Linked DNA regions of Lepisosteus oculatus. The main gene of each other region encodes a partner of the protein of the gene in region 2 in a complex. Links are inferred from orthologs where the notes say so. Each region holds a gene or a part of one and is shown on either strand. Other genes may lie near its edges. The genes, in order: rbm8a and casc3.

What was found.
Region 1: casc3 (region 2) and rbm8a share a complex: the UniProt entries of both Homo sapiens proteins name them as parts of the mRNA splicing-dependent exon junction complex. The link is inferred for Lepisosteus oculatus from reciprocal best matches to the Homo sapiens genes CASC3 and RBM8A.

What each region holds. Positions count from the first base shown.
Region 1 is NC_090722.1:2,284,450-2,300,060, reverse strand, and holds the start of rbm8a (RNA-binding protein 8A), read right to left. Parts: upstream 7,179-15,611; 5' UTR 7,140-7,178; coding exon 7,073-7,139; intron 5,928-7,072; coding exon 5,868-5,927; intron 4,116-5,867; coding exon 4,038-4,115; intron 3,734-4,037; coding exon 3,597-3,733; intron 2,536-3,596; coding exon 2,399-2,535; intron 1-2,398.
Region 2 is NC_090723.1:9,611,516-9,627,695, reverse strand, and holds the start of casc3 (protein CASC3), read right to left. Parts: upstream 11,723-16,180; 5' UTR 11,709-11,722; coding exon 11,412-11,708; intron 8,716-11,411; coding exon 8,691-8,715; intron 8,036-8,690; coding exon 7,980-8,035; intron 7,154-7,979; coding exon 6,968-7,153; intron 6,583-6,967; coding exon 6,431-6,582; intron 6,162-6,430; coding exon 5,985-6,161; intron 5,499-5,984; coding exon 4,654-5,498; intron 3,244-4,653; coding exon 3,182-3,243; intron 2,544-3,181; coding exon 2,435-2,543; intron 1,840-2,434; coding exon 1,741-1,839; intron 1,418-1,740; coding exon 1,212-1,417; intron 327-1,211; coding exon 204-326; intron 1-203. UniProt on the Homo sapiens protein: Required for pre-mRNA splicing as component of the spliceosome. Core component of the splicing-dependent multiprotein exon junction complex (EJC) deposited at splice junctions on mRNAs.

The DNA.
Region 1 (15,611 bases), on a different chromosome or scaffold from region 2:
GAAGGGGGGGTAAAATCTAAACCTCAGGGTCCTAATAGGATTAACTATGCATTTATCCCGATGGCTCAGCCACTAATTTGTTTCTTATCGACACTAATTTCATTTCTCAAAACCCAAAGCCACTAAAGCTTTGCCATCTGTCAATTTTGTACCCGTTTAGAGAGGAACCGCAACACTATTTTTATATTTCAGGTATAAAAAAAACAGTATTGATAAGTGCATTTCAGGCCACAATTAAATTAAAATGTGCACAGTCACTTGTGTAGCCTCCAATTTATATTGAAAAATAAGACATTTCCAGGGACGCGCCGTGCAATATTCTGCAATTCAGAATGAGGCAACAAAACATCGGATTAGATGAAGCAGCCCTATTACCTTGTAATCAAGCAGGCTTGGCAATACATATTTTAATCCAGCGAAAATATTGCTCTCAACTTCCGAGATGGTTTTTGCCGACAAATACTCTCGTTAACTCTGCCTGCAGATCACGTTGGAACATTTCTGCAGGAAACTGTCTGCTGCAGAACCTGTACTTATTCGCTCGTACCTCACATTGCATTAGTCCTGACAGTGACTAGTGAGCAGAAAGGGCCACATCACGTCAATTCATGGGAACTCTCGCTCTCGGAGACCAGGGGGTTACTGGTACTTTCACAAAAATCACGATTCTGTGCTTAATTTGAAATTTGCAAGCTTTTTCTAATGAATTCATCGTGTTACCGAGATTTAATAACCAGTCGGCGAAATTGGGACTGCAGTTCCCCTTTGATGTTGTGCAACTCTGATGTGCATTAGACCAAGAACCACTGGGGAAAATTAGGTCAGCGATGTCACAGAGTCGAGGTTCAATGTGACTCTGAGGCCATGCGGCCCCCGAGGACAAGAGTATGAGATCTGGAACAGGTTCAGAGTTCATCATGTGAAGCAGGTCTTGTTGAAACAATGAAGATTCAGTATTAAGTCAGCTGTGCTAGTTAACGTAGGGGAATACAGGTCTCTAACTTGGCACAGCTTGGATTTAAAACCTCCTTTCTGTGCTGAATATTTAAAAGGACTACTTAAGAACTACAAATTTATTATTTAGAATTATAAGAACCAATATAAACCTATTAACTACTGTCATGCTTCCAGTCGGCATCGACAGGACAAAAAGTGCTACTGGGATTTTGTAACAATAGCTCATAACAATAGCTCAAAGGCAAAAGCACAATTTGTAATAATCACCAACACCTAACCAACACAAGGCAATGAAGCTACTGTTTATGCAAAATCGGCACCGTGCCACATCATTCTTCTTTAGTTTCCTTAGTGAACTTAAAAAAACAAAAACAGAAACCAAAACTATATTCTGTAATGAGCATTTCACCAGCAGGTCCTGCTTTTCTCTATGAGTAACATACCACTTACTGTGCTATGTAGTCAACGCCTTAAATTAGAGCCACTTCTAAACATTATATAGTTAAATAAAACTCTGAAAATTAATCCTTCCTCAGATTTTGTTCCAAAAGCTGCATGATAACCTACTTGTACTAAAAAGCTATAAGATTAAAAGGCAGATCTGGTTGTTCCTCCTCTCGTTGTCAGTGCAAACTGTACCAGAGTAATGAAGTAGCAGAGATACAGTAAGGAGAGTGATAAGCACACTTAAAAATAAAATGCTTTCTGAAAGAATCACATTAACTGCAATCTTTGTTGAAAATTTAATGAAGTGACATAAGAACACTGCCTAAACTATATAAAAAGAAAGTTACAACACTGCTATATTTTGCTGCATACTGTTTAAAAATCAATACTAATACCAATCCCACACCAGATCATTTCTATAATAAGAAGAGATTTGTCAGCATAATGAAAAAAGTTTTTATTACATTTTAAAACTTATTTAGTAATAAGGTCTTAGTAATAAATAAGTCTTAAAACATCTGTATTAAAACAATATTGATTTTTTTTTTCCAATTTAGTCAAAGTCTTAACACTGAATTCCCCAATTCTACTACCTTTTTCTCCCACAACCACAAGTTGCTTCTTCAAGCTCAACCTTTCCTATTCTCTATTTGTATCTCACGGTTTTGTCTGCATCTAACACTTGACTACATTAAATCTCTGACAGATAACTACCCATTTTGAAATCCATCAAAATAATGTTGAATGTCCTTTGTGGTAGGAGGAGGAGTATCCTGTCGATGTGACACTACAAACCTACCTAGTTTACTCGCAGTACTATAATAAGTCATTGATATCAATTAGGACGAGCAGTAACCCTCGTGTGGATCCCCAAGTCAGGTATTCCCTGGTTAAAGCTTTCCTGCTCTGGTCTATTCGCCACATCACCACTACGAGTTCTGATGCGATGCCCTGCGGCCCACACGGGTGGGAGCCAGCCCGCGGAGACACTGACCTCCTCTTGCTCTTCGGTGGGCCCCGGACGAAGGCCCAGTCCACGCTGATGGGCTGGCCCATCAGGTCCTGACTGTTCAGCCCTTCCATGGCTGCCTGAGCCTCTTTGTAGGTTTCATACTCCACCAAGGCGTAGCCCTGCAAGAGAATGGAAATCCCATTTGATTACACCCCATCGCCGCCGTATGCCCCAGTTTCTTCTTCAAATACCACTTGGTAAACAATACCGAACATGTTTGCTTGTGCTGTAAGAAACCCTAAGCAGGGTAGAAATTGGTGAAGGCCACCCAATAAACAAAATACTTCTGATAAGGACGACCTTCGTTTCACACGACACGGGAGATGAGATACCACATCCCCAGCCTGTAAAAATGCTAAACTATTTTACTTTTCTAAAGAGACTATTAGTGAAAAATTACCACAAACGTTTAAAAATTCACATTAACACTGGATCAAAGTACTACAGTGCAAAAACGTGAGCACTTAAAATGAAGAAACTATGCATCAAAGATTTTTGAACGTCAGAAAAATAGTTTCACGATTAAGACAGAATAAAGCAATTCTTCCCATTTGGTTTGGATATTAATACAGCTCATGGTTAATCATACTTTCAAATCAATGAAGAAATGAATACTGAGCTCCACATAAGGAGCTTAAACACTTACAAAACCTCCAGCAAGGTATATGTCCTGTGGAATAAGCTGAATTATACCACGCACAAAATAAATAAACAATATTCTAAACTTATTCCAAGTATGTTTGAGTGCCATCTAACTTATGAGACTAGTGACCGTTTGCTCAAAAAAAGCATTCAGTATTTATTTTATCACTGAAATCAAGACTGGCTGTTTAAAGCTCACAAAGGACGATGACCCAAATCTGCCCTGTTATATACTGCACAGTTTAGGAACAGATCATGTTTTTCAGTACTGATGTTGTTTAACGTTATGAAGAATTAAAATGCCCCAAATGACAAAAGACATCACATCTAAAAGTAGGGACACTAAACCTCAAACAGGACCTCACTTTAAATTTCTTCAGTACCTGCCTCAAACTCAAGAAACATGGTAAAATGAAGGGGACATTTCACATTAAGGCATGTTATGCAACTAGACAGTTGGTGGTTGAATCAAAAACCTGGAAAAAGGAAAAATGTCCCCTCGAGCTAGGCTTATAGAAAAAAAAGTGAGGTTGGTTACCTTAAGGTAGCCCGTCCTTCGGTCCAAATTCAAGTGCAAGTTCTTGATTTCTCCAAACTCTGCAAATTTGTCATGGATGTCCTCTTCTGTGGCTTCTTCATGGACTCCTGTCACAAACAGGATCCAGCCTTCGACAGCTGTAAACAGAGGAACACTGTTACACCTTTTCAGTACAGGAAGAAGCGTGTAGTTAACATTTAATCAGTTCAAAGCTGTTATACTTTGAAACGACCTCTTCATTCAAAGGGCGATAGAGGTCTGAACAAACCCCTCAGCAGTGCTGTTAAAGCCAATTCCATGAGACCCTTCAAGAAACGCTTGGATATGGGCTTCAGATGAACCACCTATTTACTAGATACCAAACTAGAAGATGAGCCTGACATCCTCTCGTCTTTAATGCTTCTGATCTTGCACAGTACTGGGGACACCCTCTGTACTTACATCTCTGAGGTCCTGGTTCATCACCATCCTGCTCGACTGTATCATAGTCCTCTCGCACCCGGGACCGCGCCCCCTCCTCTGTGGAAAAGTACACCAACAGTAACACAGCTCTCAAACTGAACCCCAATCAAAGTCGGGACATCAAATCATTACATTAGGCTAGTGTACAATTAATTAATTAACTACAATTAATGCAGTGAGAAAAAATTCCTAGCAAGATGGAAAAGCATGATACAGGACTCAGTTTATCGCTCCTACACTCCATATGCTTGAAGAATAGATAAAGACTGTACTTCAGTAATTAAAAAAGCCTAATGAGCAGTCATTTTGATAGAAAACTAGTAAAACAATTAAACTTATGTTAGTAATGCACCCGACTTGCTGAAAACAGGCATTTAGCAGTTGTAATCTTTATTTTCCATGTATTTAATGCAGTATGGCAACATAATCACCATCCATCTTGGCAATACACTTTTATAAAAAGAAGCAATTGGCACATCAAATTTGTAAAGGTCTCTTTTTTAGAGGTCTTAATTTAGATCTACAATTGTACAAAAATATATGAATCTGAATATCTACAAGAGAGCTGAATTGCTTGTCAGATCGACTGCCACAACCACCAGCTTTTCCTGCAAAACGGGTGCTCCAAATACAATCATTCCTGTACACCTTCATTAGGAGCTGGGATTGTTGCTAAACATGCTTCAATGTGCTGGAGCCGTGTGATCAAACAAGAAGGAGGCTCCAGTCCGGTCCTACATGTCCCAGGCCCTCCGGGTTTTCTTGTTCTCTTTAGCTCCTCAATAAGCCTGTTAAGACCTAGAGATCTAGTAGCAATGGTCAAGGTGGACACCTCAAGATTGTATTCCATTGGAAAATCATGAAAAACAAAATTCCAGGCTGTATTTCACTGGCTAATAGTGAACTTAAAGTTCAAGAACATATTTATTTTCCACATCAACATTTTCCCCTGATAATAATGAACTTTGTTATAGGGCTGGGCGATAACTCGATAACGATAATTATCGCGATATAATTTTCCTCGATATAATTTTAACAAAAGTTTGATAAATGTTCGATATATATGTTTATGCTTTGCGCATGCGTGTTGCAGACCGGGCTGCTAACGTGCTGTTTATCCACACGGTGGTGGCTGACAGGATTGTAGTTAGAGTGGAGAAATGAGCGACACTGAAGCAAATGTAGTGCTGCTAATGACCAGCTCGAAGGACGATGACATCGTCGACAGAAAAGGTCATTCAACTTCAGTAATTTGGAGATTTTTTGGCTTTTTACGATCAGACATAAAACAGAGCACTTTAAACTTTGCAGTCTGTCTGAACCATCTTCTATGTGTGTTTTATCACACTGCAGTATTTAATTTTTCTATTAAGATATTTATTTTGTACATTTTACTCATGTATATTTTTACATAAAAAAGACTTGAATACTCTCTATTCATCTGTTTAATGTTTCTGCTGTTTGGCAAGTGTTTGTTGTGTTCATAAAATAAAGAGTCGTTTAATTTTCCAATTAACTGTTCCTTCAACTTTCACTCAGGAGAAAAAATCTGCCTTTAAACTTGAAAGAAATAATTATTTGAGATTCATCGTGATAATTATCTATATCGACTGATATGAAAATTTTGATTGAGATAATGTTTTTGGCCATATCGCCCAGCCCTACTTTGTTATACAGCACCTTTAAAAGTAACTTCTCCAGGTTACTCATTTAATCACCAATGACAAAACAGCCAGAAGCTCTCATTTCCAGCTCAGCCTAGAAATCCATCTGTACAGCTGCCAACATGCTTCCACAACACGGACTCACCTGATCCGAACCCTCTGCCTTTTCTCTTCTTTGCCTTTTCCTTTAACTTATGGATGCTTTCTGAAAAAGAAGACAGTACAGTGGGCATTAGTTTTTCCCGCGTTGAACACATCTATAAAGAGGTCAAAACAGAAGATGTCTTTTTGCTCTCCATTCATTGACAAAATGTTACTTTTTGAGGCTAGCACAAAGTGTGTTCCCATTGTGCTACTGTTGAATTTGATATGGTCATTGTCGATTCTGATATGCTATGATTTATTTGATCTAATTGGGAATGACACACTTTGCCCATTCAAGACTGTATCTTTTTAAGCTTCTCTGATTGTAAACTGACATGGACAAAGACAACAGCAACAGTGCTATCATAGCATACCATGCACACAACTGGTTCAACTAAAAAGCAGATGATTTTATTCTATATAATTTAATTCTATACCAAATAGCCAACGTTACATTCTCGGACAGTTATTCTCTGGAACAACACAGAACAAGTGATCCCCTCATCGTTAACCCTTCTTCACGACGCCGATCGGCTGTATTGATCGTGGTTACAGCAATCCCCACCCCCCTCTCCCCCCGCGGCATCAGCAATTCTGCATCGTTAATGGAATCCAGTTTGATCAGAGGACTGTGGGTGAACCGTGTGGGAAAGACGGGGTCCGAGTCGGACCCCAGATGGCAGACCCTGTTAAACAAGACCCTGCACCCCGATGGCGCCCAGGCCCGAGTCAAACCCGGGCCTCCCCTGCGGCTCCCACGCCCGCCTCCCTGCGGCCTGGCAAGCGTATTCCGCTCTGGACGATGAGCAAAGGTAAATATTTTAACAGCCGCAATGGCTGAACCTCAGCACCTCCACAGAACCCAAGCAGAGCTTATAGACCGCCCTACAAGCCGACAGCGAAAATTACACTGCGTGTGTAGGAAATAAGGGAGGGCAGAGATACAGCAAAACCGCGAACAAAAATGATTATAAGGGCCGTTAATAAATATAGTTGCACCCCCGGTCACCCATAAGCGAATAACTACAAAATTACATTCAAACCAAACCAGATCCAGACAAACAGTGTGGCTCATTTGTACACTGCTGAACTATCTTTTGCCGAAAAATAACGTTTACAGCGGGCTATACCTAAGAAAAAAAGACGAACCGACTGCTCTTATTTTAAACTACTCTGTGGTCCGCGGAAAGGTATATTAAATTTTACCATCACCATCCTCATCCATAGGAAAATCCTCGCCGCCAGCTTCATGTAAGTCCAGGACGTCCGCCATCTTCTCTGCCGTGTGTGGAAAGACGTGCGAGACCGGAAACGCGTCACCTTCTTTAACCGCCAACGGAAGAAATCGCGGAGAGGCGAGTCTGCGGCCATTTTGAGGAGGTCTGTTAACCCCACGCGTGAGGTCAAACGTCGACGGAACAAAAGACGGTGTGCCGTTGGTTTAAATGTGTTTATTTTTATAAGTGAAGATTAAAAATGTTTTATCACGCATATAAGTTATGAAATTAAAAAATACCAACTTAAAAGTAATTTAAAAGGATCATTTTTGCCTTTTCTCACACAAGGGTTTAATAATAATAATAATAATAATAATAATAAAAACCTTAATTACATGGCACCTTTAAAATTAACTTCCCAAAGAACTTTACAGTAAAAAAAAAGTTTACAAGGAGAAGACGTGACAAAATTGGCAAAACTTAATAATAATAATAATAATAATTGCTTACACTTACACTTATATAGCGCTTTTCTGGACACTCCACTCAAAGCGCTTTACAGGTAATGGGGTCTCCCATCCACCACCACCAGTGTGCAGCCCCACCTGGATGATGCGACGGCAGCCATAGTGCGCCAGAACGCTCACCACACATCAGCTATTAGTGGGGAGGAGAGCAGAGAGTGATGAAGCCAATTCATAGATGGGGATTATTAGGAGGCCATGATTGGTTAAGGCCAATGGGAAATTTGGCCAGGACGCCGGGGTTACACCCCTACTCTTTTCGAGAAACGCCCTGGGATTTTTAATGACCACAGAGAGTCAGGACCTCGGTTTTACGTCTCATCCGAAGGACGGCACCTGTTTACAGTATAGTGTCCCCATCACTATACTGGGGCATTAGGACCCACGTGGACTACAGGGTGAGCGCCCCCTGCTGGCCCCACTAACACCTCTTCCAGCAGCAACCTTAGTTTTTCCCAGGAGGTCTCCCATCCAGGTACTGAGCAGGCTCACACCTGCTTAGCTTCAGTGGGCTGCCAGTTGTGAGTTGCAGGGTGATATGGCTGCTGGCAAATCAAGGATTTTTAACTGAAATGCAGAATGCAGAGAATGTGACTCTGGTATCCTTGGGTATAGAGCTCCAGAGCTCTGGGGCGCAGCAGGAGAAGGCCTGTCACCCCCAGTTTCAACAAGTTTGAGCAGACCAGAGCCAGACGGATGAAGGTTGCGAGATGGGGAGCAGGAGGCCCAGCGAGCAGAGCACTGCAGTGATCAGTTCTGGAAGAGACGAATGTGCTGGGATACAGGATTTGTGTGGCAGAAGCCAACAAGTCCTGACATTGCAGTTACTGTATTTACTAAATAATGTTCTAAAGTAACTTTCTGAGAGACCAGCTTAAGACTTTAAACTAACTGGTTAAAAAGAACAGAATTCACAGTGAAATTTGTGTTTGAGATTTCAATTATTGCATTGCCTTAAAGCTTCAAGATTTTGAATGATAAAATCTAATACTGCTATTTAGCTCTTTGAACAAGAAACCGCATCCTGGCTGATTAAGCCATCGTGGTCTTTCTGTAATTTCCAGCTGGCGTTCCATACTTCCTCAGAAAGAAAGTGCCTTTTCTAGAGTGCTCAAGGAAAGCTTAAATAGTTTCTAAGTCTTTAATTTTGCTCAATATGGATTTATTATGATTGGAGTTGGACAAAGTGTTAGTCTTTCTAATAAAACCTTTATCACACCCTGTAAAATGCACTATTAAAGTAAGGAATCAATACATTTTGGATTGAAGTGGATGATGAAATGCTTAATTCTGCAACTGAGTATTGGTGAAGTAGCATTTTCTGTTCTGTTGGGATGTTGGCAAAAAAGTGTGGTTACTGCATTATGATGTTAGATGATTACTAACATCCTTCAGTTGAGAGAACAGAGATATGAATATGATCAAACATCAGTCCTAGAGAAAGACCTATGTAGGGTTAAACATAACATTTCTGGCAGAGGTGGTAAGTATTTATCAACTGTCAAGCTCAACTACTGTAGATCAGATGAAAGCAGAGGATGTAGCGTGTAGATTTTGTGAACTCAGTTCCCAGCTGTCTGCACTGCATATCAAGAGCAGATTTTACAACAGTGTTCATGTTGGTGCCAATAATTAGGTTGTTATCTAATCTGAGATCTACTGTATCTGTAATGTAATCTTAGATCTATAGATTTACAGTTTTGGTAAATACATAGAGTATTATGGGACAAATAGTAAAGTGTAGTATAAACCGAAGCAAACAAGATTTTTTTTATTAAAGATAGTAGTTTTCAAAAATGCACCTCTTCCTCATCAACCCCCTCGTCTAGAACCGTAAACTGAGAGTTACAACTGAAGAATGAAGAGATAAGAGAGATGCCCGGGAAGTGAGATAATTCATATCATTTTTGTGTTTTTGTATGTTTTTTGCAAACTATGCAGTTTAGTGGCTTGACGTAGGCTTTGTGCTCAAATGTATATAAAGATGCTGCCTGTCCTTGGTCAGTAAGATAAGGGGCATGTATTTGGTAAGATGGCTGTACGCCCATAATATGAAAAGAACTAACTGTTGTCTAGTCTGCAACTTAGATATAATTAATTGGCAGGTGTTGCTTTTTCATCATTTGTTTAGAATGTGTCATAGTAACTCTTTTTGTTTTAAGGTATAAAGGACCATCTTCAGCTACTTATTTTTTAAGTCTGGTGGTTGCAAGCCAGACTTCCAAATGCATATGAATAAAGAGACTTCTGCTTCACAGGCACCTGAACTTTGTCATTTTTTTGACACTACACAACATAACAGAATTTGTGAATCTCATGGTTTATTAACAATTTTTATGAATTAGCTAAATCTAATGCCTCAGGTGGAATTAATGTATCATGGCAATATCTGCTTCATTTCTGCACGACAAATATTGTGACCACTAACGTTTATAAGGACTGTTCAAACCATGTTAATTCCAGGTGTAGAGTACAAATCCACTGGAAACCTTTTCCTCAAGCAGAAGAGGAGTTTACTGTGTATTCAGCTGAAGAGAAGCACCCTCCCTGCAATTACAGTAGGAGGATGAGTTTAACAAGAAAAGGTACAGCTGACCTTTTGTACACTTACTTGATAAGGAAGACAAAGAGCTTAAGTCTCAACAAGAAAAAAAAAACTTCAGTCTTAATTTCTATTGGTTAAGCAAAATTCTACTTTAATCATAAGATGTCTACGTAACTGAGCTATATCAGTGTTTTCTAAAAGCAGGTAGTTACAATTGGCCTTCTACACAAAAACAATTCTTTGGGATTCTTAAAACAAGCCTTCTTTGTGTGTGCAGGCCCTCGCTCTTATCAACAGTAAATACATTTAATGTTTTGCTGAACAAGCTGTACGGATCAAGAATTTAAACCCTTCACAGGCAAGAAAATTACATTAGAATTTGAGTATTTAAAATAAGCTGGAGACTCGTTGAAAGGCATGCCATACCATAAGAGAGAATGTTCTGGTCTTGTACACAGTCTAACACTTGTGAGACAATCAGAACAGAAATAGAAACAATTGATTAGGGTTCTCAAAAGGCCCCTCCCTTGGGCTGCCAGCAGAAGCCAAAGCAATCCCCTTTCAGACAATTTAAAAAGGCAGAACAAGCCCACACCCACACCGGTAACCTAGCTCTGTGGTGAGCAGCTAAGCCTTCCTCCAGTACAGCACAGGAAAACAACACAACACATATGCACTGAAGTAATGTAACATTAACAGTAACGCAGACAGTCCTAGTTATCTCTAGTTATCAAAGAGAGGACCTATGACAGACACATACTGTAGATCTTCTTGAGAACCCAGGACGGGAATATTACCCAGAAGGGCTGAATTAAAAGCAGACAGACTACCCCTCTAACCTTCTGCAGCACAGGCTGTACAGGCATGGCAAAATTGATCCACCCTCTGATGCAGACGAATCAGAGGAGATCTCTTCCCCACCTATTTAGATATTGAGCACCACAGCGTTAATCAGAGAGCTAATAACGCCCTCCTAACAGAATCTAAATCACTGTAACCTCAGAAAAAGGTGTGCACTTGCCGGCCAGGTGATGAGTCTGCACTGCACTGAAACCAAGGTTGCGGCCACTAACTCAGGTGTCCGGTGGGCGTCACCTGATGACCTGTACACACCAGCCACTCGAGCAGTGCAGTTCCCCCACACGTCAGGCGATTCGTCGATCTTGATCAGGCTGAGAAATTTCCTGCCAATACTGCTCGTTTAGAAGGGGAAGCATTTTGGATTTTCTGTCTAAATACATTAACGCCTAATTGATTGTAAACTGAATGAGATCTTTAGGCATTTCCATAAACTGTCCTTCCTGTTGATTTGAATGACTATTTTAATTATTTACAGTAAATCAGATCATAAAGAAAATTGTGTACCCTCTCTGAAAGAAAAGTTAATAGGGATTGTCATGAATTTTGTATTTGACTATTAAATCCTTTAAGTGTTAAAAATATTAGTAGACCTGTGTGTGTAATGTAAACATTTAATTCAACACTCCAATTAATGAGGAAATTATCTAACTTTCTGTTTCCAGTTCATTGTTAGGGGATGTAATACCTCTGTTTGTATCAAGTACTGTCACTCTTTTAAGAATATCTCTAGTATTTAAGAAGCAAGTAAAATTGCAATCCAGGCAAAAAATAAACCAAGTAGATATGATGTCAGACGAACATGTTACAGGCTTCTCCTTTTTGGGTCTGGCTAAAGATCTTAAAACTCACTAATCCCTTATTTTTCAGAATCACATTTGGTCCCATTTTGTCTTTCCTTTCATCCATGACCACACACCAAAAGCCATGGACCCAAAATGCAGTTCTTCTGGATTTTGGCAATTAACCGAATATGAATCTTATTTTCTTCCACCCAGCAACCCCTGCTAGTTGGCTTTCATTAGCTTCTCAGTTGTGGTTTCAAAAATAGAATGTAGATAAAGCATTTCCATTCTGAAGCCATTAGATTTCCCCCCGAGCAGCTCCTTTTGAAAAGTAATTGTGAAGGGACGTTCAACGAAGCTGTGAGTTTGCCTCTTCAAGAGTGCAGAACAGGGTAGCAAATCAGTTACTTCTCTGGAGCCATCAGTTGGTCTGTGGAAACAAGCCCATGTGTTTGTCTCAGATGAGATATTGTTCCTAAATTAATCATCTGACTAAACCGATGAAGAACAACCAAGAAGAAAATTACTGAGGGTTGGAAATTCAAACACCTGAGTTTGTACACCTTCCCAAGAAAAGAACAGGTCAAAGGTAATGAACCAGATGAGTACATAACAATTCCATTCCAGTGAATCAGCTTTTATAATTTTGTGGTTTGAGCCTCTTAGTGTAAAGAACTGATTAAATCCCAGAATCACACCAGCACTAAATCTTCTGGCTAAATCTGGCTTCAGGCAAACAGGTTGGTTTACTGTTTGGTTATTTTTCTCTCCGTTCCTTGAACTCTTGACTACAAGAGATCATAAATGCTCACACATTTTCAATCAGCTTTCCATTTCCTTAGACATCAAACATGCAAATCAGTCACAGGGCCAAGATTTCAGATCCTTCTTATGGGGGTCCCATTTCGTGGCATTACAAAATGATGCTACACGGTTTTTTAACTTCATAATCTATTCAAAACATGAATGCTCAAACTGAAGACTTCTAAGGATAAAGCCACAGTTCTTTTTTGGGGTAAGTCTCTACAAACACTGTCTTTTTACACTGGCTTGGTATAATTTGTGCTCATTCTTCTTGTTGAATTTGCATGAATTTGCTCTACCAAGTTGCACTTACAGGCATAGATTGTCCAGTCTTCAAGAAGAGGATTCAAGTCAGGATTTTGACTGACATGAGCTTTCTTATTTTTTTTGGTCACTCAATATATCACTACATTAAAAATCGGGCCCACAAATGATAGTGGACACACATAAGAACAAGATAAGAATACCACAGTCCCTAGAACCCAAATCAAAAGTCCCAGATGAAACACCACTGCACTACTCTCCCCAACATGCTCCATCCAGTACTCGGGAGAGCCTCCTTCCTCCACACCAGGGGAAGAGCTGCAACTCTGCATATTTCTGCAGATCCGCCAATCCCAGACAACACGTCCCATTACAGGGAGAAGAAGGGGGAGAAGCCAGTGTGGGACCTGTCCTCTGCTGCGTCCCCCCTCTGGTCTCGGTGTCCTCTCCTGTGTCCAGTGGTGCAAAATCTGTGCCCACATCCTCCTGGCTGAGGCTTCTGAGTCTTAGGGTGCCCTTCCTGGCCAGAGCTCTAGTACTGACATGAGGGGCAGGTGATCAGGGGGTGTGTGGAGGGGGGTAGGCAGGACTAATGAGTGAGAGCTAATTAACGAGCAGGACTCTTTGCAGTTGATCAGGTATAACAGTGCATTGTCCCAACCCCCTTTATACCAGAGCTTCCTGTACAGGTATGTCCCTTTATATCCAAGATGTGGTTATACACATTTCAGTCACCATTTACTTTGGGGTGGTTAGCGGGTGTCTAGGCAAACAGTGTGTGGTTCCTCTCCTTCGTTGATTGGCACTTTAAAAGATAAGGGAAGCAGACAAAGAAAAATGAAACCCACAACAGCAGACAAAAACTGGCCATTATATTTCTACTCCAAGTCTATACAGTATATCCCCTGAGTTACTGCTCTACTCCCACTTCTTGTCTCTCTGCGACAGATGCACTACATTGGGTTTGTGTAATGCTTTGCATTTAGACCAAAATGTTCCCCATTTCTTTTGCCAGACCACAAAACCTTTTTCCACATGTTCACAGTATCACTTATATCCTTGTTGTAAACTCCATGTGGGATTATAGATGCATATCCCCCATCTTCCAGAGAGGCCAGCATTGTGGAGAAACAGGGACATTGCTGACTTTCCCGTTTTCTCCGATTTCAGTCGCTGAACTCTCTCTTTGGCTCTTCCAAAGTTACCGCTGGTCTCACAGCTGTGTCCCTGATCTGTTTCCCCTCGTCTGGCGGTTCAGATAGAGGATCAGATGAGTGCCTTCCACTTCTCAATGATCACACTCCCCGTGCTCAAAGAGATGTTAAAGGAAATGTTTTAGATTCTTCTCGGATCCTTTACACAACTTTCTCCTTAAGTTGTTTTGAAAGTCCCTTTGTCTTCATACAGTAGTTGAATGTTTGCTTGAAATTCAGTAGTTGACTAAAAGAACTTTACGGACATAGATGTATTTATTCAGAAATCATGTGAACCACCATCATTGCACACAGACAGACAGACTCAAATTAGTCTGTGGATCGTTAAGGTAATTTTGTGCACATAAATGGATTTAAGATCACCACAGCACAGGGTTTGAATAATCTTGCAGTCATGACTCTTCTACTTTGCTTTCTTAATCAATTATATATTTACTTCCTTCATTTTGTATTTGGCTTTGAATATGTGGGATATTTTATGTACAGTATATAACAATAATTGCTATTTCAAAGTGTCATGAAAGCATGTTTTAAAGCAATCATATGTGAAATGTGCAAGGGTCTGCATACTTTTGCCAGTCACTGTTCTGTATTGGAAGGATGGTTTATTTTGTGGGTTGTAGCAGCAGTAGGTGAAAAGGAAAGACCTCAGATGGAAAAGCACCACAGATGGGAAAAAATGCCAACACTAGTTTTGTTTGCTGTTTTATTGCATTAAAAATCTATATAGAAAAGTACTTCCATGGTAAAAAGCAATATATCAAAAATCGTTCATATAAAATATATATCAAAACACTGTATATAAAACTAAAAGGACATACTAAATGAACTAGAAAAAGGTTCGGAATTCTAGACATTGTTGGTAAGGTTTTTATACAACATGGATGCCACTGTTAATACTAATTCCTTACACTTCCTCTATATAGTGCTCTGGACACCATTCAAAGCACTTTACAGGTCATGGGGATCCCCTCCACCAGCACCAGTGTGCAGCCCCACCTGGATGATGCGCCAGTCCGCTCCCCACACACCAGCTCTCAGTGGGGAGGAGAGCAGAGTGATGAAGATGTTTGTTTTTTTACCCAAGAGAGGACTAAAAGAACGCTATGTACAAATAATGACAAACTTTTAAACCCTGTTCACTATTGTGCTACTATATTCTAACATTTTCCAAATACTATGAAGTATTTTATGAAATAATTTGAACACTTCCAAAAATTACACTGTTGTGCAGAGGTCTACCGAATTTTGCAACGTTGCATGCAGAACCAGTTCTATCGCCATCTGAGCCATTTTGTTTTACATCCAATACTGACAGAGCTATATTTTGTAGAAAGCAGCCTTTGAGCTTTTAATGATTTACGGATGTGTAGAGAGTAACAAATGATGCCAGTGATGAGTAACACTTTACAATGAGCCAATCAGCAAATGAGTCTCATTACTGTAGCTACTAGACCACTTCAGATTGGCTACCTTTGTATAATTTACCTTGGGCTGCCGTGCTCACCTTTTGGAAGATCCTGATCAGCGTGAA
Region 2 (16,180 bases):
TAATGACGCATGCGTGCAGAGTTTAAGAATTGGTTTTCTCTTGGCCCATGCCAGCACTTTATTTTGGAATGAAACCCTCAAGATGCAGGTTGTCCTTCTCTACCAAGGCGCTAGAAAACGCTGGTTTGGGGGCCGGGAGAGTGCGCCCGGTGCAAATAGCTCAGGACCAGGGCGAGGAACACACGGCGCCCCACCCAACCCACCTCCGGAGGGGGGGGCTTGATGGTGACCGGCTGGGAGGAGCGGCGGGGGGGCGAGGGCTTCGGCTGGGCCTGCTGCTGCATCGTGTCGTAGTAGGTCACCCCCCCGTAGACCTGCGCCTGCGCCTGCGGGCGAGAGAACGGAGACACCGCCGGGGTTAGAGGCCGCCCAGGAGTGCAGCGCTGGCAGCCTGGAGACCAAATACATCACCGGGGCTCCGCGTGCCCAACATCAACAACCGCGGAGTCTTCCAAATACAGTTTGTACCACGGACTAGTGCTGTTTCACATCTACCAGTCTGACTGAACGCTCCCATCTGGACGAGAGGCAATGAGAATGAATGTCCAGGCTACAAGGAAAGCGGCGATGCTTAGAGAAGCTTGTAGAGATGACGACTCTTCTTGATGACAAAAACACGTTTTAAAATCCCCAAAGCACAACATGACTACAGTGTTTCAAGCAACTAAGGTTGCTGCTGGAAGAGGTGTTAGTGGGGCCAGTAGGGGGCGCTCACCCTGTGGTCCATGTGGGTCCTAATGCCTCAGTATAGTGACGGGGACACTATACTGTAAACAGGCACCGTCCTTTAGATGAGACGTAAAACCGAGGTCCTGACTCTCTGTGGTCATTAAAAATCCCAGGGCGTTTCTCGAAAAGAGTAGGGGTATAACCCTGGTGTCCTGGTCAAATTTCCCATTGGCCCTTACCAATCATGGCCTCCTAATAATCCCCATCTCTGAACTGGCTTCATCACTCTGCTGTCCTCCCCACTGAGAGCTGGTGTGTGGGCAGCGTTCTGGCGCACTATGGCTGCCATCGCATCATCCAGGTGGGGCTGCACACTGGTGGTGGTGGAGGGGATCCCCATTACCTGTATAGCGCTTTGAGTGGAGTGTCCAGAAAAATGCTATATAAGTGTAAGCAATTATTATTATTATAGTGTGGTCAGTGAACAGAAGTGTGGGTGCAGAACCAGCCGGGGGGAGCACAGGCCGGAGAAGTGTCCTCACCTGGGGGTTGGGGTACAGGGGTGGCAGCGTGGCTCCGGCGGGGTAGGGGAAGTTGGTGTTGCTGAAGGTCATGACACCCGGTGGGGGGTAGAAGGTGGGGGCCAGCAGCTGCTGTGGCGGGGGCTGCCCGGGTGACATGGAAACGGGGGGCCCGGCGTACAGCGCCGTGTTCGGGAGGGGGGCGCCCGACTGGTGCGGGTGCAGACCTACGAGAGGAACAGAAGGAACCGGAGTGAGCGCAGCTCTCCCCGGGTCAAGGACAAACGTCAAGCAAGGGGCAGTGCGGCATCATGGGTATTAAGACCTGTACCAAAACAGCAGCCTTACAGAGAAGGAGGAAGAACAACATATGAAATGCGTCAGCTAAAAGCACAGTATAATCTCAAAATCCAAAACAACTGCAAACAGGATCCTTAAAGAGCATCAAATGAATAGACTTAGTAGCAACCGAAAAGGTCAGAGTTCACAGAGACGGTCGGTCCCCTCTGCCCAGCGGTCAGTGCAGAGCAGGGGGCTGCTGGACACAGACCTGGGTGTGGGAGGTGCATCTCAGGCTGGACCAGCATGCCCTGTGGAGGCAGGGGGGCGGGGCTCTCGCTGTGAGTGTAGATTGGTCCTTGGAACGGCACTGCGGCAGAGGCAGGAGGGAGAAGACATGAAGACGCGCCGACTTGCACCTGGGAGGCCCCCCAACAGAACCAGGCCCGTTACGGGCTGAGCGCCTGTACAGCAGTTCCTCAAAATAACCCCCACCCCCCAACACCAAACCGAGTGACAGCTTTACCAATTCCACAACTACACACAGCCTCAGGCTCAAAACCACCGCTTATCAGCTTATTATTCTAACAGCTCAAGTGCAAGAAGTCATTTGTAAACTTGGGAATTCATTCTGTCTAGGTTTGTGAGGTTCTTTTAAAAGACACCCCAGCAGCTGATGGGACCCTCAGACCCCTCCTGTGCTTTGATGTTTTGCACATTGCCTGTTGTTGTATTTTGCACATCGCCTGTTGTTGTTTTTTTGCACACTGCCTGTTGTCTCTCTTTCTTTTGCTACACAATTGTATTGTTGTTGTTTCTTTCCTTTTCGTACTACTTATGTCCGAGAGCTAGCTAAATAGTATTTCGTTATACCATATACCATGTATATGAGTGTAATGACAATAAACTTGAAACTTGAACTTGAAGCAGAGGGGGCCAAATGAAAGCTGTAGACCGGCACTCACTGGGGTCGTAGTAGTGGCCCTCCATGATGCCGATGTGCATGGGCGCCGGCTCGGGGACCGGCCTCTGCCTCTGGGAGGAGTACCGCTTGGCTCTGCCCGCGCTCACCCCCTGGACAGGGAGAGAGAAGACACAGCCGGTCAGACGGCACACTCCTGCAGCCCCGCGGAGAGGAGCAGGGGGCTCCCCCCACTCCTGCAGCCCCGCGGAGAGGAGCAGGGGGCTCCCCCCACTCCTGCAGCCCCGCGGAGAGGAGCAGGGGGGTCCCACAAAGGGCACCACACTCCTGCAGCCCCGCGGAGAGGAGCAGGGGGCTCCCCCCCACTCCTGCAGCCCCGCGGAGAGGAGCAGGGGGGTCCCCCCACTCCTGCAGCCCCGCGGAGAGGAGCAGGGGGGTCCCACAAGGGGCACCACACTCCTGCAACCTGCGGAGAGGAGCAGGGGGTCCCCACCTGGGGGCAGAGACAGGTTGCAGGACAAAAATCAGGAAGCTTTGACGCCTAGAGATCAGCAGCATGCAAATCAACCCTCACACTGGTCATCTGCCCCAGCAGCACTTCAAGTGGATGCATTAGTCGTGCTTTCAACAGTGGATCATGATACAAATAACCAGAAACCACAATCTGATCGGGTGTCCAAAGGGGAACCTGGCAGACAAAGATTTCTTTCTTGACCAGGTTTCTTCCAGCCTCCGGGAGCAGGCCTGCTGCAGGACCCCTCTCCCGGACCTAAACCAACACACGACTCACCAGCTCCTCCATCCTGTTGTACTGGGGAGGACCCCCACCCATGTGCAGCGGATTCGAAATCCCTGGAAAACAAAGGGGGAAGAAAGTCACTCCTGCGATGGGACTCAGGAGGAGTACAGAACCAGAGACAGCCGACCCCACAGGGGGGATAATTGAATCTCTTTTCAATATTTAGCCTGTAAATTTTGTCATTTGGCTGCAGTACTAGGAGACTTTTCCCAAGCAGGCAGTAAGGCGACCAGCTGTCACAAACATCCAAACTACACCAAATACAACAGCAAGGACACAACAAGTTCACCGAAGTCCAAATTTGAGAACCCACTCTCTCAATACCAGGCTTTGAGGTTAATTATCAAGGTCGTTTGGGGATTGCCAAATTTGTCCTTGCACATTTAAGGATTTGATCAGGTCCACCAGTGTAAAAGGTACACAGGACTGGAGCCTGTCTCTGGTCACAGCTCTTCTGCTGGGCACACTGGGAGGACGAAAAGGCAACAATATTACTTATATTACTAGAAGGGTCATGGATTCATCTGGAAGAAAAACCAGCGGAGTCCTCTGGGAAGGTAGGGAAACTGGGGCAATGAATTCCGTTCCCAGAAGCACTTCATCTCACTCAAGAGACCCCACAGCTTCACAAACAGAAAGCATGATGCACGGCCAGGAGCCTGGAGGGAACTAATTATTAAATACAGAACTAAATATAAATCTAATCATATAAAAATGAAAAGAGCTACAACGCGCCTGGTCATGCACCCCCCCCAGACTAAGCAGAAGCAGAGAGCAGGCTCGAGAGAGGTTTGCTGCCCTGATCCTCCACTAACTCAGCTGGAGAAGCGCGTGGCTCTTGTAATCCCCCACAGCCACCCACGGCTACAGGTCATGGGGCACCTCTCACTCCACAGGCGCCGCACACCTGAACTCTGCGTTCACTCAGAACTGCGGGGGAGCCGAAAAACCGTTCTCTCTCTCTCTCTCTCTCTCTCTCTCTCTCTCTCTCTCTCTCTCTCAAGATCTAGGGGGGGAGTTTACAGGACACCCCCCCCCCCCCCCCCCCCAACTAAGGGGAGTGGTGGCTCTGTGGCTCAGGATCTGAGCCTGTGACTGGAAGGTTGCCGGTTCAAATCCCACAGCCGGCAGAGGAATCCTACTCCGCTGGGCCCCTGAGCAAGGCCCTTAACCCCAACTGCTCCAGGGGCGCCGTATAAATGGCTGACCCTGCGCTCTGACCCCCAGTCTGTGTCTCATGGAGAGCAAGCTGGGGTCTGCGCAAAGACAAATTCCTAATGCAAGAAATTGTATAGGGCCAATAAAGCAACATTATTATTATTATTATTATTATTAAGAAAGGACGAACAATAACACACAAGGGGGTGAACTCTGGGCCACGTGGCTCCGGCGAGCACCAGTGTGAACAGGGGGTACCCCCCTCCCCCCATCACCATGGCGAGCAAAGAAAACCGAAAGCTCACCCCTCATTTCCCCGGGGAGGTAGGAGGGCGGGCTGTGCGCCCAGTTCTGCCCGCTCAGGCTGAGCCGGGCCAGGTCCTGGTCCAGCCCGCTGCCTTCCAGCGGGGGCTCCCAGCTCTCCGTCTTGACCGGCCCGTGGGGCCCGGCCCCCGGCGCGGGCGGCTGCTTGGGCGCGGGGCTGGCGGGCCGGCCGGGCTGCGCGGGCGCGGCGGTGGGGGGGCCCGGCGCGGGCGCGGGCGGCTGCAGCGGCGCCGCCTCCTCCAGGGAGGCCTGCTTGCCCAGCTCGGCGGCCCGGGTGCGAGTCCTGCGCGCCAGCGAGTACGATTTCTTTTCCACCGTCCTTTCCGGCGCCGCCTGGGCCGGGGGCGAGGCGTCCCGAGCCGCCGCCGCCGCGTCCGCCGCCGAGTCCCGCTCGGGCTTCACGTAGTACTCCTCCTCCTCCTCCTCCGCGCCGCGCGACCCCGGCGCCGCCGCCCCCGAGGGGCCGTGCTCGGCCTCCCCCCGCCGCCTGTGCGCCGGCTCGCCCTCCGCGTACTGGGGCGCGGGGGGGCCCCCGCGGCTGTAGCCGCCGCCGGCGTGGTGGTTACTGTCGTCGGGGGGTTTGTAGTTCGCGCGCCCCTCCTTGTAGGAGGGCGGGGGCCTGCTGTTCTGGAAGCCGCGGGCCTGGGGGTGCGAGACGCGCCCCGGCCCCCCCGCCGAACTCCTGCCGCCGAACGTCCGCGAGGCCGGGGCCCCCTGCTGCGACGGCGGGGCCGGGCCGGCGCTGTTGGCGGCTCCGTGCCAGGAGGCCCGACTCGGCTTCTCCCCGTCTCTCCAGCGGCGCTCCCGGCTGGGAGGACTGCCATACCTGGAACAGCAGGACAGACAGCGGTCAGCACGTGGGAGAGGGGGAGCGCGGGCCGGCGGGCAGGACCACCCCCCAGCCGGGGGGCCGTCTTCCCTTCCGCCGCGCTCAAGAGTCACAGAAGGGACCGCCAACTCGGCCAAGACTGCAGGAGGAGACACTGGGAGAGGTGGATTATGTATATTAGCTAAACTCCCCATCGTGATGGTTTTGGAAGTTCGTGATTTGTTTCTTCACCCTTTCTCCCCAGCACTATACCTTGTGTCAAAATGCAAAAGAGCGATAAAAACAGACTTCACGCTCATTTATATTTGGAATAATGGAGGTTTTGAGATGACTGGCAACTTTTTTGTTATTATTTCCGATTACCTTCATACGGGCCCAGCGCTCAGCATACCTTTGTCCGTTCATACAAGAACGAGATGATATAAATAACCCAAAAAGACCCCCCTGAGCCCATCCCCGAACCCCGGCCCGCGACGGCTGTACCTGGGCTTGCGCGAGCGGCTCGACCGGCCGTCCGCCGGCCCGTTGGCGTTGCGGATGTCGTAACCGTACAGCGCGATCAGCTCCTCCCGGGACTTCGGCGCCTGCTCGTCCTCGCGGAACTTGTCGTGTTCCCAGCGTCCCTCGTCCTTCCACAGCTTCCTGTGACGCCCCTTCGGCCTGCAGGGTGGGGGACAACAGGACAGAGGTGAGAGGGAGGGGAAACGCCGAGTCACGACGCCAAGCGACCCCAGCAGGAAGAGATGATTCAGAGAGAGCAGCACACAGAGAAGCAGGGGAAAAGACCCGAGCTCCTTCACAAAGTCCTGAGGAGCAAGATGCGGCTTTGGGACAGAAGGAGACGGACTTTAAAAAGGGTTGGAGTCGAGGTGCCGACAGCGCGCCCCACCACTCAGCAGCCCCTTGGCGGCGGCCCTGCTCCTCCTCACCGGATGTCGTCCTCCTGGGCCTGCCCGCGGACGTCGTGCTCGAAGAACAGCCCCTTGCGCGGGATGTAAGCGGGGTTCTTGCGGTCCTCATCATCGTCCAGCTTCTTCCCGGGCTTGGCGGAGGACTTGTTCTCCAGGGTGTCCGTGCTCTCCTGCCGGGACAGGCGGGGAGTTGGCACAGAGGGAAGGAGGAAGAGGAGGAGACGGGGTCACTCCGGGCATTCGAGAGCTCGCAGCACAGAGAAGCACATGTAACAGGCTGCCGGCGGCCCCACACCACGCGTGCAGACTAAATGGGAGTGCAATCCTTCTAATTACAGGACACCTGTTCCCAAGACTGGAATGGGGGGATTTCAGAAGCACACGGACACGAGCAGTTTGTGTGCACTGTTTTTTTCAGAATGCCAGCAAAGGGTTTAAAATACAACACAAAAAAGTACAATAAAAACAAAATTACTGTTGGTTTCAGACACGTAGGACACTTCTGCTTCCCTGCAATGGTGAAAATAAAAGTGATGATCAACAGAGCTACAGTACCTGCCCATCCCCACTCTGCCTCTCCCCAGCCAGGTTCCCCTTCTCCTCTGACTTCACCTCTTTGCTCCCTCCTCCTTCCTCCTCCTCCTCCTCTCCAGCCTGCTCATCCTCTGACGGTTTGGGCTCGGCAGGGGGCTTGGAGCCCTCTTCTTCACTGAACCCTGCTGCCTCTTCCTCCTCCTCACACTGGGTGGGGAGAGAAGATGGGGGAGACAGAACACAAAAGCGTTTCTTCCTCATCTCCTCAAACACTCACAATTAGCTAGGACACTCCTGACAACCACAAGCCATACAACACAAACCCCGGACACCTGAACACACTGCGCAGTGCTGGAGTAAACACCCCAAACCCCATGGGCGCCAGTCCCAGGGCTTTGCACTTTAATACGGTAAATTTAATTTCTTTATCGGAACATTTGCACGTATGTTGGTGCTTGTTTCTTCGTTCTGTACAGTTGGGAGTCCATAGCTGGGAAAACAAAGATACCACGTCACATGCCTGACGCTGCCTGGGGTGGTAAGGGGAGCAATTCAGAAAACGCTTGTCGAGTTTCGGCCCTGTGTTATCTGAAAAGTCTGAAAATACCTACAGTGCTTTGTGGAAACCCTTAATTAATATGATAAACAAGTCTATATTGTGCCATGTGGAGTGACTGACATGCAATCACAACAGCACAGGTTGTAAAACAGGAGAACATTACACCCACACACATGACAGGTCAGCAGAGACTGAGGCTAAACTTCATTAAAACAAAAGACTGCTCTTAATGACATGTAGGCACTGGATGTACAGCCCCTACAATTTACAGACATAGCTACGCTATAATTTCAGTTACAAACATCCGAGTTTTTCTCAGAAACCTCAAGGCACGTGGCCAGGCCAAATCGTGTGAGGAGGAGTTACTTTTCCTTGCACTCCTCTGAAAGCTTGAAGGATCCCAAGCTCCTTTAAGGGCATGGTTTTTCTCCTAAAGGAAGAAAGGCATCTGAAAGAACTCAGAAGGAAACAAACCTCAGAGTGTGAGCAGTTCTCTTCTGGGTCCGCACTTTCATAATCTGACAGGATTGCTGAGGACAAAACAAGAACATTCAGTATACAATTTGCTAACCCAGCATAAAATAAGACCTGGAAGACTGCAAGCAGCAGGCTGTCTTGTCATGGTCTCACTAAGTCACCTGAAGGATGGACAAGGCCTTTAACAGCAACTCTTTCCCTCTATTTAACAAATGATGATCAGAGAGAGCTGGACAAGCTGCTGAACCGATGTCATTCAGGGCTGGGCCTGGGGTCCCTGCAGTCATTCATGACACACAGTGCCCCACCCATGTGACAACCCCAGTAAGAACAATTACAGTTGTACACAAGATGTTAGACTCTAGATATTAACTGAAAGGTAAGGCCTCCAACCCAGGACAGCACAAGAAACTGTACTAGACGATAAACAATATGAGCTAAAGGCCTGTCCAGAGCTTAACTGTCCTCAACACATCCCCGTCCATATTTCTTCCGAAGTCCTAATAAGAGTCCTACTCCAGTTTGCAGGCATATATCAACCCCTGTCTTCAGTTAACCTGATCTTTGCCTGGAGACCTGCAAAAGCAGGGTCAGAGACTGCTGACTAACTGCACAACACACCGAATGGGCCACATTCGCAAGAAGCCAGAGTAATGACATTTACCGCAATTTAAAAATGAGTCACAAAGGAAATTTAAACCAGCTTACCATCGCCTATTCCATCTTCGCTTTCCTGCATTACGATGAGAGAAGAAAAACAAGTGTTAGTTGGAAACCTTATCGCAAGAAAACCGACTCACGTTATTTTCAATGATGTAATAATAAGAGCAGCAGTGCAATGTAAGTGCTAAACCGCAATTAACAGTTTTCTAGCAAGGGAACCCCAGCTCATTTTCTCACAGTTACAGACCTGGTCCAATATTTGATTTCATAATTGTGACACTTCTAACCCAGACTCTGGCGTGTTTAATAAATAACTATCTTTTAATGAAGTCAATAGTTTGAGGAAAAAACCCAAAAGAAAGGTTAACTACTCAGGTTGGAACAAAAAAGGACACTAGGCCATCCAACAGTGGAGTCCTGTAGTAAACATTATCCTTGGATATTCAGTTCATATAAACCCCATTAGAAAGCTGAAGGGATTTTCCTTCCCAGTGTACATTCTACAATTCCTTTTCCAACACCCATGCCATGCCTTGGAATGAGTTACCACTTCCTACATTTTCCAGGATCCCTAGAAAGCAGACTTATTTCAAAAAGAATTTCAAAAACGTGTTCATGATTTTTACTTGTTCTTTCTTGATACACACTTCGTAAATCACTGTGAGTCAAGCACATGAGCTTAAAAAAAAAAACACAGTTCCATTTGTTCCTATAGCACTAGTGTGCTTAAAACACTCTATATTCATGATTTCTCTTCAGGTAAGTTTGTTGAATATTTATTCTACCAGATTTTCAGAAAGGCAGTATTGTTTAAGATAAAATATTCTACTAGAAACAGAAAAGGCTGTTTACGTTACTCAAGCACAGCAGTTTCACATTCCTCCCTCAGTTTCACATTCCTCCCTCAGTGAGAGCTTGATAGTGACAGATTCAGGACACGTGTGAGCTCAGGCAACGACCATGCTGAGCAGACACACAGACTGTAGCCCCTGCCTACAGCACCAGTAGCGCCATTTTCCAGGAAGTCTGTACAGGAGCTGCCCACCGTTCCCAGGAAAGAAACTAAAGAAAGGCTTCCTAGGATTTTTAGGGAAAGGTTTGCCCTAGAAGAACACGTCTCTCAACCTCAGACAGCACATGTGGGAAACAGGTCGGACCCCGCCCCCCAATATACACCCGGGGCATCACAGCACATTCCACTCATGGAAACAGACGGCAAAAAAGGGGGGTGAAAGACCCCCAACTTGCATCGCACCATACACACTCGGAGACTTGATGATTCACTGGGGCTCCCCAACTCTCAAATCTCTGCTGGGGCGCAGGACATCACACACGCCGCCAGCAACGCCAGTAACTCGCACGCCACAAGCCACCTCGCCGCCCACAGGGTCTCGATGGGTTAGCGTTTCTTTCCCGCAGCCCCAGCTTGGTGCCGGGGAGACGTTTCCTGGGCCAGAAGGCTCGGACGCAGGGAGGAGGGCAAAGGGGCCACAGCAGAACCCGACCGTCGGCTGTTAAAGCTCGATCTGGGGGGGGGGCGAGAACCCGTCTGAGCTGCTGTGCGTTAGCAGGGTGTGGAAATAAAGCACCGCTAGTGATCCCCACCCCTGGACCCCAAAACTCTCTCTCCTGCAGGCTGTCAGGGACTCTGGAATCTCAACACTGACTTAAGAGCAGCTTAACGTTAGCGTTAAATGTTTTCACGAATCAAGCATTTCTTGGGTCTTAAGATTCTGTGAGTCAAGCTAAGAGACTTACGAACCCAAGAGCACTTGGGGTACCAGTGTATAAAGCGCAGGTCTCTGCACAACCCCGCTGTTTTCAGATGTCAACAGGCCACTGCGTTTGAGACCCCGCCATCGGCCAGCTGTGACACAGGAGGTGTGACACGGAGGGCAGCAGTCTGAGCTCCTGGGGATTCGAGTCTCCACTGCAGACGCTGCTGTTGTACTCCGAGCGGGGTGTCGTACCCCAGCAGCTGGTGAAGTGGGGAGCAGCACTGCTGGGGGTGACCCCTGCCCTGGACTGGCGTCCTGTCGGCGGTGGGGGGATCCCGTGCTCTCTCCTGCCCAGGGAGACTGGGGGGAAGAGAAGGGCTCTGGCCCCGTGTGGCTCAGGTATGGAGACTAGGCACCCAGCAGAGCAGCTCTGAGGACCCCGCTCACATAGAGGAGCCCATCGGCACCTCCCGTGCTCACGAAACTGGGTGCCATAGGCAAAAAGAAACTGAAAATAAAACAATCCTGGTCAAGCGATTGTAAATTCACAGGCCTTGAGCTCTGTGCTCCAGAGGATCCGATCTGCTCCAGACAGCCCATCACTACCCCTTGGAGTACAAACCCCACAAGCGCTCCGGGGCGGCCGGGCGGAGAGGACGCGTGTCCGTGGGCACCGAGTGGACGGTGAATTCACGCCCCTGCCTTTCCCCACACCAGCCCAGACCACCAACAAGGGAGAGGTTCCGATCTGCTCTCAGCATCCAGCTGGTAGCTTCCTCCAGTCGGCAGGGGCTACCGTCCGCTGCTCAAGCGGTATGGAGCTGCCGGACCGTGGGGCTCAACGCCCGGCCCCGGTGTAACCCGCACCGACCGCCCGGCTCCCCGCAGGGACCCGCGGCTCCACGGCCTCCCTCCTGGGCGCTGCTGCAGCGCTAGCCCGAGGCCGTGCGGCCTGAGAGGAGCCGAGCAGATGAAGCCCATTTTTAACTCCCCAGCTCAAAGCCGAGAAGCGTTGGGGGGGGTGGGGGTTCGGCGACGAGAGACTCACACACTCCGACTCGTCCTCACTCTTCTTCCGCACCCGGACGCTGGGCAGCACCGCAGGTTCGGGAGCCCTCGCCCGGGGCTTTCCTCCAGCTGGACCCGAATTCCCGCTCTCGGTGCCAGAACCGGACTCGTCCTCTTCCTCGGTGTCCTGGGACGCGCGCTTCCGCCGCCGCCGCCTGTCCGCCATCTTGGGAAATGAACAGGGGAAAACTTGCGCCTCCCGAGGGCTTATGGGAAACGTAGGCCAAGCACACGTGAGGAGGCGCAACGAAGCCATCGGGAACACTACAATTCCCATGAACCCTCACGGCCATGACTCGCGAAAGCTCTTTATGGGAAGTGTAGGCAATACTTACTGAAGCAGTGTTTGCTACTACAGATTGTCCGTCGGGTATTAAATTATTTCGGATTTGCAGTAAATGATAGGGGTTTTTTTTTAAACCGTTGACTAGTTCACCACGTGGAGTACTTCAAAGTCAGCAGTGCAACACGAACTAAATGACAAAAAAAATAAACTACGCGACAGAACCCCTACAGCTGGTTATATAATTTACACAAAGAGTTGTGTGAGTCTAGAACAAGTTGCCCAGCTGTGCTGCCGAAACATATTTCATCTTTTAAAAACATCTCTCGCATGAAGTTGATTTCATTTTCCAGTTAGTAAGGTGTAGTCATTTTACCTGAGCCCAGTTTCAAACCCCCAGGGTACTGACTTCGAAATCTCGTGTTGATGTGCTTTCAAAAGCAAGGAGGCTCTACCGCGGTCTCTCTAATTAATTCGAGGGATTATTGCGACTAAAAAGGTACTTATGTACCAGGCTGCGTTCTTCGACTTTGTCTTTCGAAGAGATGAACAACAGTGATCAATGAGAAACGTCAACAGGTCAATAACCTGGTAGAAGCGCCTGAAGCACTTCGACCCCACTTCGGTAGGCGCCTGCCACCTGGTGGAAGAACTAGGTACTGCTGAGCTCTGCGCAGGAATCGCGAGGGTTTTCCGGAAACTCGCGATCAGGTGCAGATTGTTGAGTTTAGGTGTAAAGTTTTCATGCTGGAAAAAAACCCATCCATAAAATAAGAGATGAAAGGCTGCATGGCATCAATAAAGCAGGATGTCTCCTTCCCCATTTGCTGAATCATTTATACTATTTCCTGTTAACACAGGACAGGCTTCCCGTTTTCAATCCTCAATTCACTACTGCCTTCATTTTGTCACTTGTGGCCTCGGGTCCTTTTCTCACTGCTGGTCCTGAAGCAGTCCCTCTTGGACGACTTATAAGGAGGCTTCTGTACATGAAGGGTGGCAGAAGCAGGAAACAAGCTGCACGCCCCATTGTTTTATTTTGAGAAATGGCTGGACTTTGGTCCTCAGTTTAATTAGCTACCAACAAATAACATTAGATGGGTGGAACAGTCTCTTTGCAAACCTGCAGTATGTGCTTTATCAGTCTTCATTTTATTTACACATAAGCATATTCCAGATGAAGTGTTACCAAGAGCTTTTACTTGCCTAGACTTGACATGTACAGATTTCACTCTATATCCTAATCCTGTTGCCTGACTCCTGACAGGACACACCCGAAACACTGCATTTTTAAGGGCGGAATTATCCTCTACTTGTTCTATAACACACTGTTACACGTGTAAGATTCCTACCAAAAGAGCTGAATCTCACGGCGATTTGGGGGGAAACCAGGTCCCATTTCTTAGAAACACCAAAAATAAATGCAGTGCAACCAGTGGCCCGTTCCTTTACTAACTCCGAGAGGGAGAAGGCAAAGCATAAATATCCCATCCCCTCCAAATAAAACATGGCATTCACTCGAGTTTGTGAATTTTATTGAAAAACAATTCCACTTTGTCAACTTTTTCACACTGAAGCATGTTTTTTTTTTTAGAATACCAATACTGAACGTTAACACTCAAGAGTGAAGTTGAACTTTAAATAAAAATAACAGCCACGTCGTGCTTATTTACACCTTGTGTGTGTTTCTGAAAGCTATGTACAGAGGCGGTCAAATATACAGTTTGGGATTTTGTCGTCTCCCGCTGGGGAGGAGAAACGGAACCAGAAGAGGACAGAGACGCAACAGGAAGCGGGGACGACCACAGAGAGAAAGAGACGCGCGTCTCGGGGCCTTCTGATCACGGCTGCCTCGACACAGGGCTGAGACTGGCAGGTTTCTCAGCGCCGTGGAACTCGCACGAGGAGCCGAGGGAACCGGTCGACATCCCAGCCTCCGTAACCCATTCCAAACAAGGTCTGAAGCACAGGCTGATCACGGTCCTTGTTCTATTCTATGGCAGGCTTGCTTTTTAATAGTAAATCGTCACTTATTTTCGTTACTCCTTCCCAAAGTGGAAGAGGCCATCAGATTTTTTTTTTTACACCTTTTGCCCAGTCACTACCAGTAGCCCAGGGCCCAACAGGAGGGGAGCGCCCCTCCCTGATGCCTCCTCCTGCCTGCAGGGAGCCCAGGAGGCCACAGGGGGCGCTGTGTTGTCAAGCACTGCGAGAGTTCTAACTGCCCCCACCACCACCCTCAGCAGGGGGTCAGTGACATGACCCAGGCTCGAACCCGTGCTCAGACAAGTGCCTTGACCAGCCGCTCCACACGGGGGCCCACCATGAGGCTTACCCTTGGAACTGGCTGGGAGAGGACGGCATGAGATCAACAACTGGGAAGAGCAGAATTCCAACATCAACACAAAAACGGGGTGAAAGACAGAGGCGAGGCTGAAAGAAATACTCTCATTTTTGTTGTGTTGCGCCTGAACGTGCACGACCAGCACAGAGGGGACTGGCGAGATGCGATCAATTCTGCAGGCGAAGAAGAAGCGGGGAAAAAAAACACAGGGCACAAACCGCCCAAAACAAAACGGACCCCACTGACCTCTGACCTCGCTGCCGGTCAGCTGGACACCCCTGCAAGCGACGCAGCCCCCCTGCAGCACCGACAGCGTCTCGTCTTGCATTTCTGTTTGTATTCCGGCATTCCTGAAGAAAACCAGTCATCACCTGACCAGGTAGCCTTGGGATCACACAGGCGTCAGGGATGTGAGGAGCTGACTCTGGAATCTTAACCTGAGAGGCCAGGGGGGCAGAAGTTTTTCATCATGTACAGCTAGGGTATTCCAGCTCGAAATAAGAGATCGACACAGTCGTGCTCCTCACTAACAGCAAATGCTGCTGGAAACGTGCAACCCCACACAATGTACAGCACACAGATCCTGGCTCTGTACTGCAAGTGTTTAACAAGCAAGGAGCTCAAGGGGTGGGCAGGTTGTGGGCACTGGACGCGAGGGCCAGCTGACCAGGCGGACAGAGCTCAGCTGTAAGAGCATCTTTACACAGAACCTGACAGGACGTAAAACTAACAATAAAAAGGGTAAGAAATACAATCCCCAAAATTTTAACAAAAACAGCAAAGGGATTAAAATACCTCCAACTGAGGAACATGCAGAAGATGAACATTTAAAGAGGGAAAACAGAGCAAACCCCCTCTCCCCTCCTCCAGAGGGACAGAGGAACAGCTATATGAACCCACTTTTAGACTAGTTTTCCTCTTTGTACAGTTTATTTTTACAGCATGCGTCTCTTATGCTTTTCAACAATCAGGGTAAAGCACCACTCCTGCGCTTGAAACAAGGGGCAGCGCTCCGAGGAACTCCCACTGGACACCGGCGGGGGCTTGGGACAGCGAGGACACAAGGACCTCCGGGGTCCTGAACCGCGAGATCCAGTGCTGGACCACCACCATCCCAATGCCTTAGGAAATTCCTATATTTCCAGTGAACAGAGAAATGGGGAAACATGGCAGCTCCTTCAAATGAAGCCACTTGAAGCTCAAATCAAACGGGCTACAGCTCCCCAAGACTTTGCTGAGCTCGAAACGTTTTTACCTTCTCCTGGTCAAGAGAGGACGCCGATGAGCCTCGGAAAGGGTGGGCCAGCCTGTTCATCCAGGTTCACCCGGGAGGTCCAGGCACCAGCTGCAGTGGGACCCCTGGTATTCATTCCACCTCCGACGCCAGTTACTTAATTCAACCCATTTGGATAGGATGTCTTTTCCGGGGGGCTTAATTGTGCATAGAGAAACGCAGATAAACCCACAGGTTTTGCCCGGTAGGTCTGGGGGTGTACAAGACGGTCCCGTCCCCCCAGGCTTTGAAGGGAGCTGTTCTGAGACTCAGGATAGCCGACACTCGAACAGAGGAAACGGGGCGACAGCGCTGCTGCCCCCTAGTGTCACGGCAGCCAGGAGAACCACAGCCATCCAGGCGCATTACGACACCATCAGCCAATCAGGCAGCTGCGTGCATCGTGTCAGACTGAGCTCCTGTCACAGTTCAAATGAAAACCCTCCTTTCACAATCAGCTCAACTTCCTCGGGGGATGAAATACCAGCACCTCTTTGCTGAACTCTTGTCACACAGCCTTAAGACATCCAATTCATTCTAAGCACAGTCCCTATAGAGATTTATAGGCCCAGTGAAAAGCACTGCATTTCTCCAATTAAGAAACCCACTGTGTAATCCAGTCTGGAATTTAGTTTTAAACCCCAAATTCAACAGCTAAGGACTGATCCAGACCAATTAAACCAAGTCATTAAAAGCTGGAGCATGGTAAGGGGCAGGAAGATCATATCTCTGGAATTCCAGGGCCATGCAGTTAGAACTGTATCTGGGAAACAAACAGCACATGGCTCAAGTACGATTCAACATTCTATAAGTACTATTATTTCTAGTCCCTTAATAGGCTTGGGTGGG